Linked DNA regions of Mus musculus. The main gene of each other region encodes a partner of the protein of the gene in region 2 in a complex. Links are inferred from orthologs where the notes say so. Each region holds a gene or a part of one and is shown on either strand. Other genes may lie near its edges. The genes, in order: Pomc and Oprm1.

Evidence for each region.
Region 1: the proteins of Oprm1 (region 2) and Pomc are in contact, whole or in part, in a cryo-EM structure (PDB 8F7Q), measured with the Homo sapiens proteins. The link is inferred for Mus musculus from reciprocal best matches to the Homo sapiens genes OPRM1 and POMC. Residues at the interface, in NP_000905.3 of Homo sapiens: Ser66, Met67, Ala70, Ile71, Met74, Gln126, Asn129, Tyr130, Leu131, Met132, Gly133, Trp135, Val145, Ile146, Asp149, Tyr150, Met153, Arg213, Ile217, Asp218, Cys219, Thr220, Glu231, Lys235, Val238, Ile298, Val302, Lys305, Trp320, Ile324; in NP_000930.1 of Homo sapiens: Tyr237, Gly238, Gly239, Phe240, Met241, Thr242, Ser243, Glu244, Lys245, Thr248, Pro249, Leu250, Val251, Leu253.

Annotation. Positions count from the first base shown.
Region 1 is NC_000078.6:3,953,587-3,958,031, reverse strand, and holds the start of Pomc (pro-opiomelanocortin preproprotein), read right to left. Parts: upstream 3,088-4,445; 5' UTR 2,986-3,087; intron 2,645-2,985; exon of another isoform or gene 2,469-2,644; intron 1,214-2,468; exon of another isoform or gene 1,103-1,213; intron 1-1,102.
Region 2 is NC_000076.6:6,787,084-6,791,517, reverse strand, and holds the start of Oprm1 (mu-type opioid receptor), read right to left. Parts: upstream 2,949-4,434; 5' UTR 2,644-2,948; coding exon 2,360-2,643; intron 524-2,359; coding exon of another isoform or gene 445-523; exon of another isoform or gene 275-444; intron 1-274. UniProt on the Homo sapiens protein: Receptor for endogenous opioids such as beta-endorphin and endomorphin. Receptor for natural and synthetic opioids including morphine, heroin, DAMGO, fentanyl, etorphine, buprenorphin and methadone.

The DNA.
Region 1 (4,445 bases), on a different chromosome or scaffold from region 2:
TGAGCCAACACTAACAGCTCTTACCTTTACAGCCCAAGGCTTTCTGAGGACAGGAGTGGGGCTCAGAAGATGGAAGGTGTGTGTGTGTGTGTGTGTGTGTGTGTGTGTGTGTGTGTGTGTGTGTGTGTTTGATGAAAGGGATAGGGGTAGAGAGCACAGCACAAGCTATGGGCAGTTTCCCTCTCTGTTTCCTGTTAAAATCAGACCCTTAAAAAATTAGGTGAAGCTATTTGCCATATCACTTGGCCCAACCCCTCATTTGGGAGGTGGGAAAGCTGATGCCCCCAAAAGATCATTTCTTTTATGTCCATGATGAAGTAAAAGTATGTTTTTCCACATTCCCACATAGCTTCTAAGTTCACTGCCTGGAGAAAGCTATAGTTCAACACTCTGTATCCAAAGGGTGAGAGTAACTAAGACAAAAGATAGGAAAGTCCTGCCTTGGTTCCTTTCGCCTAACATTTGATCATTTCCCATGAAAGGTAGGTTTGAATACAGGCAAATAAAGCCAGTCCACTTAATCAAGGTTTGATATTCTATACACAAATTGCCTGGTGACTGTCATTTTCTAGACCCTAGTAACTTTGGGAAGATTTCTCTCTAAAGCAGATTCCACTTCCCTTAAAACTATCCTGTTTTCTAAACATACACACCACACATCATAAGTCTTGTAGTCTGAAATATGTGATTTTGAAGAGGATGTCAATATTGAGGACAGAGAGATAGGCAAAAGAATGGAAAGGAAGCTGCCTCCACAGTGGAGAACGACTAAGATACTGTGGAGGAATGCAAAGCACCTCTGGGCAGATATGGAGGTCAAAAGACCAACAGGCAGGAGAGAGAGAGAGAGAGAGAGAGAGAGAGAGAGAGAGAGAGAGCAACTTTGGTCCCCTGGTGTCCAGCTCTTCCCTCACACTGCTAGGTTCTTAGCCTGTGATATCTGTTCCCCCTCACCCAAGGACCCCTAATGTCACCCTACTCTGTAAAAGTTCCCCACCAACTTTACACTCATTCTGGATTTCAGATTACCAGCTGTTAGGAAGACATTTAATTAGATTAGAAAAATTAGTTCATAGTAAGATGTAAATACCCAGGCTCATACCTTTAATCCCAGCACCCAGGAAATAGAGGCAGGAGGATCTCTGAGTTCAAGACCAGCCTGGTCTACAGAAAAAATTCCAGAACAGCTAGGGTTACACAGAAATACCCTGACCTGAAAAAAATAAAATAAAATAAAATGTAATAATTTTAAAAAAGATGTAAATGACTTAAGTGTCTGTTACCCCTGATGAACATTTGCATTTTAAGATGAATATGACAGAAAATAAAGACGGGAGCCAAACCTCTATTTTTGAAAGGGAGGATTTGGAAGTGAAAGTCTTCCTTCAAGAATCTCTTTCTCCTCTCTGCTCCACCCCTGCACCATTCTTCTAGAGCTGGTTTTTCCTGCAAGCTCTGAGTGTCTTTTTCAGAACAACCATTAGTAGGCGCTAGCAGTCATTGAACTATGTGGTCCGTACCTCAGCCTAGAAGCAACCTTGTTCACCATTGCTGGGGCTCAGGCTCAGACTGGAGCAAATTAGCTCAAAATGCTGAGATCACAAAATTCCCCCAGATAGGAAAGCATAAAAAATGATAAATAGCATGAAAACATATTAGTAAAGAAAAGTAAGATCATGCAAGTCCTCTCACTAAGTTTCCATTGTCCTGAAAGTTGTGTGACCATCTTTGAAGGAGCCACAGTTGAGATTTCAGGCCTTCAAAATTGTGCCTTCTCTTCCTAGCCCACCCACTGTGTGCTGAAATTCTTATGCCCCACTCCTAGAGCATTTTATTTGTATTTCTCCCTTTTCTTACAATGAAACAAATGTCTTATTTGTGCCTCTTTTTTTTTTTAATCAAAAGTATTGAGGGAAATGTCAAATGCTGTGCTTTTCATAGATAGGAGAGTGTCAGGTTCCAGTCATTAACATCTCTGGAAGACAGAAGGTTGTGGTTTATTCATTTTGACAGAACTGCGCTTATTAGGGCCCCAGAAAAGTCTCTGAACTCAGTAGAGCTTATATGTTCTGCTCTCAGAGTGACTGCGACAAGCTGTGTATAAATCTGAGAGGCACAGAGATGCGGCTTCATCCATACACAGTGCGTTTGCTTCAACTTCTATAAGACCCAAAGGAAACAATCTGCACTTACTTTATACATTGACAAACTTCTTTTCATTTTACTTAACTCCTTCCAGCCATTCTGTGAAAGCTTCCCATGATTTATACATGGAAAACTTGAGGGAATCTTTCTCTCCATTTGAAATGTCCTTTACCTGAGTATGGGTCCTTACAAATTGCTGCAACGCCCCCACAGTTTTATAAAGGCTTCCGAAAGTAGACGGAGTATTTCAGAACCTTGGACAGTTCCCTCCCACACCCTGTTTTTAAATCTGAGCTGGATCTTGAAGACAAGAACCTACTTACCGTCCTGTCCTATAACCCACGTAATTATCACAATGCAACCACCCCAGATCTGCTAAGATGCGCAGAGAAACGAGGGTTTGGACGTCTACAGCAACAACAAATGAACTCCACCATTAGGAGTTTATTGTGACTCGGCTTTCTCTCCCGCTATCTTTCCAACATGTTCAGTCTCCTGCCTTAAAGAAGATATACAAGTCCAAACAATCGGAAGGAGAAGCCTAAAGGGGAACTCTCCCAAAATCTCCCCAGGGGCCAGTCGGAGTCTAAGACAATCCTAAGCCTCCCAACACTTCATTCCTCCATGCGGACTCTGGGACCATCCCCAGATGGAGTCGCCAAACCACCTGCTCTCTGGAGCAGTCTGTCAACCCATCATCCGGGCTCAGCTCTCTCCCATCTCAGAAGTTTGAGAAGAGGTCAGGTCCGCTACAAACCAGAACGCCAGTCTGCTGAGGATCCCAAGGTCCGGGGTCAGAGCTCAGAGTAAGGGAGCTGTCCAGAGCTGAGACACCCTTACCTGTCGCGGAAAGGCAGCTCTCTGGGGACAAAGATGTTCAGTGGCCTCTCTTAGTCACTGCTCTTAACCTCTTTTCTCTTCCGTCGCCTCCCGTTTGGTCCCTGTCGCTCTTCTCTCTTCTTTTATACTTGCAGGGTTGGGTGGGTGAGCCTTGGACGTGACCTTCCTGGCAGCGCTTCTGCAGCGAAGGGGGGCGGCGGGCCTCGGGAGGGGGGCTTCCCGGTCCTGGCTGAGCGCAAGGCACATCTGCCTGGAAAGCGCGGAGGCTGGCGTTAGCACAGACCCGCTGAAGCGCACACCTGGCGCTGGTGGTTAGGAAGAACTTAATTAAGAATGGTGTTGAATCTCCACTTAGAACTGGACAGAGGCTTAGCGTCCCTGTGCGAGGCAGGCCTAGTTCTGAGATCTTGCAGATCGGAGTGGAATTACCTATGTGCGTCCATCTGCCTTCCTGGCATTTGGAGGTAAATATCACTAATGAGGAAGGGGATTTGTTATGTCGCAGATTTCCCCAATGATGGGAAAGTGTGATATCTTGTGAAACCAAAATCTCAGTTCCGTTTTGAGAAGGGAGACAACAGAGGCTGTCAAGAGTCACGGCCGCCCAAGGCAGGCTACCTTTTGGAGTGGGGTGTGTGCCTGCCTTGATTCCCCAATACTTATTTCAAGACAGGTGTCCTTCTGTGCCCAAACTCTAAGGGCAAGGTCATGCCAGCCTCAGACTATTAACCAAGAGGTGCAGCGCTCTGTGGTGGGCAATGGAAATGGAAGCCATCCCGGGGCTGAGCTGGCAGAATGGTCTGGGTGGGGATTGTCTGACAGCCCTCACCATGTGGCCAGGCCCAGGCATTCTGGCTTAGCTGTGAACTCACAGGCCAAAACAGAAGGAAGAACAGACCTGCAGTGGCATCTACCTGAGCCAGCACAAAGAGCAAAACTTGTGAAGAGAGCTGTGGCTGGCAGCAGGACCAGGCCTGTACCAGACCAGTCGGGGTGCCTGCCTAATCTACCAGCTGAAGGAACTTCACTCCCCAGTTAGACGCTGTTTGCTTGTCTATTTGCTTTGTTTTGTTTGGGGGATTCCAGGGCTCCTTTGAGAGTTCAGCTTTTCTGATTGGCATCCAAAAATCTTTTCCTTTTGTGCCATGAGAGAACACACCAAGCTCCCAAACAAGAGCAAGGAGTGTGTCACCTGGCTGTGGCCTCTTTCCGGAGTGACTTCCTGCTGTCCATCTTGTATCCTGGGTGTCACATACTCCCAACACTCATACTCCATGAGCACTACTTTCTGCCTCTACTTCCCTGAGTGTTTCCCGGAAGCTTAGCACCCTCTGTCCCTCCAGTGAGGTTACTCCCCATCATCTCCCAGTTCATATTAAGCCCCCTTTGGCTATTATTTCTGCCAGGAGCCTGAGAAATGATCTGTGTTCGGCAGGGAACCCCATTCTTGTCTCATCTGT
Region 2 (4,434 bases):
TGTTTTAGGGAGTAGATGTAAGTGAGCTCCTTTTATTACTTTGTGGGCTCATACTTTTCTTTTGTAAAAGAGTGACACAGTTCCTGAGCGGATCTGGGACATTGAAAATTACAGACAGTCAGTTGAATGAGCTCAGCTACCTAGGCACAGAGTCTTCAGCCCACAGACACTTGACCAGCACTTCATGTGTCATTGAACTGCCTCTTTTTCTATTTCACATTCTTATTCTCAGAAGGTTATCTGCCCATGGAATTAAGCACTTTATCTGCCACAGGTGGGTGTTTGGGTTGACCTTTCAAATAGAGCTGCCTTTGTCAGAACTTTCAGTACAGAGAAAAAAAAGCACAATACCATGTTCTCAGTGAGAGACAGTGTGACCATGTCTCCAAGTGAACAAGTGAGAGGCAATGCTTTTAAAATGAACCCACCAGGCCAGGAACGAACTCAGCATTGGGCAAAGACCAAGCCATGTCTGCTCCAGCTGCTTCCTGTGCTACTGGCACTCTTTATAGAAAAATAGAAGCTGGAGGGGATAAAAAGGAGGGAGGAAGATGCTGAGATCATAAAGAGAAAAAGCTCCTGGATTCTTTGGCAATTGTTTCGCACCTTTTAAACCCAAGAACACATGCATAAATTTGGGGTGTTTTGTTATTTAGTATCACTACTGTAAAGCAAGCTTTCTCTCTTGATCTAGCAAAAGAATTAACTCAAACCATCAATGTATATATCCTAATAAACAGAAAATTATGTGAGCACAGTGACAGCCATGGGCAGTGAACTAGTAAATATCTTGTCTCAGTTAAAAAAAAAATGATTTCTTTGTATTGGTTCAATTGTCTAGCATAGAAAACCCTAAGAACATTTCAGTTCTCTCATTTTATGATTCTGTTTTTACCCCCCAGGAACAATGAATAGCATATTTTCCTTACCAAAAGCCATCTTTTAATTACTGCTGTAACTGTGTGATGAGACTGACTGAATCTCTAATTTGAATCTCTGTTTTGAATCACAGAGAATAAATGTCTCAAAGCATACATTTCTATATTGATTCTCTGCCTGTGTTTTTCTTCTGCTGTTAGCCTTCCTTTCAATAGATGGTGCTCTTTTCTCAGAGACACATCCTTCACCCAAAGACCAGAGAAATCAGCTTTACTTTAAACAATCATTAATTAAAGAAATCAGACAAGCAATTTGCAGTACCTTGGGAATAAAAGCATAATGAGGGAAATGATCTTTCAGGGACTCTGAGCACTCTGTGGAAGCCTGAGACATGTGTGTTGAATAGGTGAAGCAAATATTGTAACTAAACATGGAAGTGCCAAGCTCATGATGCCACATAACCCCACTGGGAAGAAAACTCAAATCAGGAGCCATTTTAAAGTGCTGGGGTATCCATCTACTTTATCAGAAGTGGATAGATAAGTACTCCACAGTAACAGGCTGAATCTGAAGATGTAACTCAGCCAACACAATATCACGTTCAATCTTTGCTGAATTCATCTGGAGCACCCAAAACAACAGAAAGCAGACTCTTTCTGTTCAAACTCTTTGAAAGTAATTTCACTAGATAGAGATACTTTCCTCTCTAGACCATCCTGAACGTTGCTGCTTTTAACTTCCTTAATTGCTTCTCATGTTTGCAAGCACTGAAGAAATAGTTATGCCCTGAGCTACCCAGCAATTCCAGATCCCACTTGGAACTCCCTCAGCAGAACTGCAGGAAGAAAGTACTGTACTGGGCTAAACATCACAACAGCTTACTTGCTACCTTTAAGCTACCCTGCCCAGGAGAGATGGCAGGAAAGCTTCCTCCACCTGGGGCAGCCTCAGGATGGAAGAAGAGTAAGATAAAGGCTCCCAGAATATAGAAGTGGTGGGACTGTAGTCTAGCCTAAACCAGCAGGTCTAAAAAAGTTATCGAGTTTATCTCTTTAACTTACTGTGAAGCCTCTGTCTTTCAGTTAGGAGAAGCAAACAAGGTTCCCCTCCTCACTGTTTACAATTTCCTATTCTTACAGCTCATCCAGAGGGAGGATTGACTGCAAAACATGCTTCAAAGACCCTCTTGGCTTAGAATAAAAAGGGGATCCAAGATGGAGCCTCCCACCACCACATCTTAATAGTTTTGGCCAAAGAAATGTCTTGTCTTTGGAATCTTGAACACTGCTTTTTCAAGGAGAGGGAGAAAAATAAAACCAACCAACCAACAAAACCCAGAAAAGTAAAAGCTCACACACAAACAGCAAATACTCTATTCAAACCACCCCCTCTTTGTACCCTGTTTACTTCTCCTCTGTCACTCATGGGGGAGCTTTGTCCCCTCCCCCCTGCGGAACTAGGTATTCAGAACATGCCTTACCTTACAATCACATACATGACCAGGAAGTTTCCAAAGAGGCCCACTACACACACGATAGAATAGAGGGCCATGATGGTGATGGCTGTGACCATGGAAGGGCTGCCGGTCTGAGGGCACAGGCTGTGGCTCCCGCCAAGCCCCGTGCGGTTAGGACCGCATGGGTCGGACTGGTTGCCATCAACGTGGGACAAGTTGAGCCAGGAGCCAGGTGCTGGGGAGCAACTTGCAGGAGCTAAGGGGTCAGAGCAGTCGCTGATGTTCCCTGGGCCGGCGCTGCTGTCCATGGTTCTGAATGCTTGCTGCGGACTCGGTAGGCTGTAACTGAGAGCACTCAAGAGTGTTCGGGTTCCAGGCGCCCCAGCCTCTTCCTCTCACAGCTGCCCTAGGCTCCGTCAGTTTCTTACAAGGACAAGCCCTAGTGGAACCAGAGAAGAGCGGCAGGCAGAATGGAACGTCTGAGCGTCCGATATTCTCCTCTGCTTGTAGCCCCCTCCCACCTTAGAAGTACACGGAGGCGCATCCTTAGCATCCCCAAAGCGCCACTCTCTGAGTGGAAGGGAGGGAGCATGGGCTGTGAGGGATCCAGAGGCTAGAGGGGAGGGAGGAGAGAGAAGGAGTGGATTGTGCGCAAAGCAACTCAGAATCAGCCTCCTCAGTCTCTATGCACTTCCGTGTAAAGGAGTGTAAATTGGGGTAGGGGGGGGGGGAGCAGAAGCGGGGATGCTGCAGAGAGGGTGGGAAGAGAGACTCTAAGTTTCTTTGTAACAACCATGCATTAGGTTGTTTGCATCAGCCAGGAAAGTCGTTGGTCTGTTAAAATCTCAATGACCCTTATACCTCAACACTCTTCCGACTCAACTAACCATATGCAATTAATTAGGACTGGAGGGTTATTAATGTTGTCCTTTACCCACATCCCCATATCTGAGGGAAAACAAACAAACAAACCAAAACAAAACAAAACAAAAAACCCCTTTAGTTCCTCAAAAAATCAACCCCACAAACCTGTTCAAAGAAACAATTGTCTTTTTCTAAAAGAGAAAATTTTTGTGAAAGAAGCCTGTTTCATGTGCCCCCACTCCTTCAATTTCTCTTAGGTTAGAAGGTCTATTTGCATCTGATTTTTTTCCTAGTGAAGAAGAAGCATAAGAACACATTAGAGATGTGAGGGAGGAGGGGTGATAACCTGTAAATAAGGAACCCACTACCCATGCCAGGTCTACTCTCCTGGACCTGCTTAGGAAGATTTATCCTAAGCTTTCGCACTGCCTCCACTCTCCCGAGCTTCTGGGGAGCAGGTTACTGAATCAAGCAGAAATGTTTTTTCTTCCCACTATAGAGAATCCAAAAGAAACTCCACAGCTCTTTTGAGTGTGAAATGGCCTTAAGCAAGATCCTTGAGGAGCAAGAATGCATTTAAAAAATGTTAGATCTCATGTCTAAGTTCACAAGTGCTTCTGAAGGAATACAATCGTAAATTCAGCAGTAGTGTGGTTTCGTCTCAACACTGTGTATGCATATGCATGCCATGCGCATACCCATAGTTTTAACTATAAATACTGGAAATAAATGTCCCCGCTCCCATTTGGTTGTAGAAAGTTTAACTGAATTCTCACAGACTGTGGGGAAGCAAGCTTAGAAGGAACATATATTTTTACTTTTAAGCAATCATTCTGAAAAAAAGATAACACACAGCTCAACTATTGTAGACTTTTGGCCAACGTTCAGTATTATTTGTCCCCTTTTGCGTTAAAGGGTGTCATTTCAGCAGTAATGTAGATAAGGTTTTCTAGAGGCTGCTAAAATACCTTTAAATATATTCTCTTCGGAATAAGTGTGTCAGTTCATATGGCTGAGCTGAAATCTGTGTGCTCACATTCATCGGTCTCCCCAGGACACACAGAACCATCTTTACCCCCTTCTTGTGAATGACAGGTTGACTTGTGGTGCTTACTGCTGCCTTTGCTATCAGATCATTTTGTGATCTAGCCCTGTAATCTCTCGCAGTGTGATGCTACTTTACCTCAGTCTTCTTCTCAGAGTACAAACCTGAATTTTGTCCAACCATATGTTCT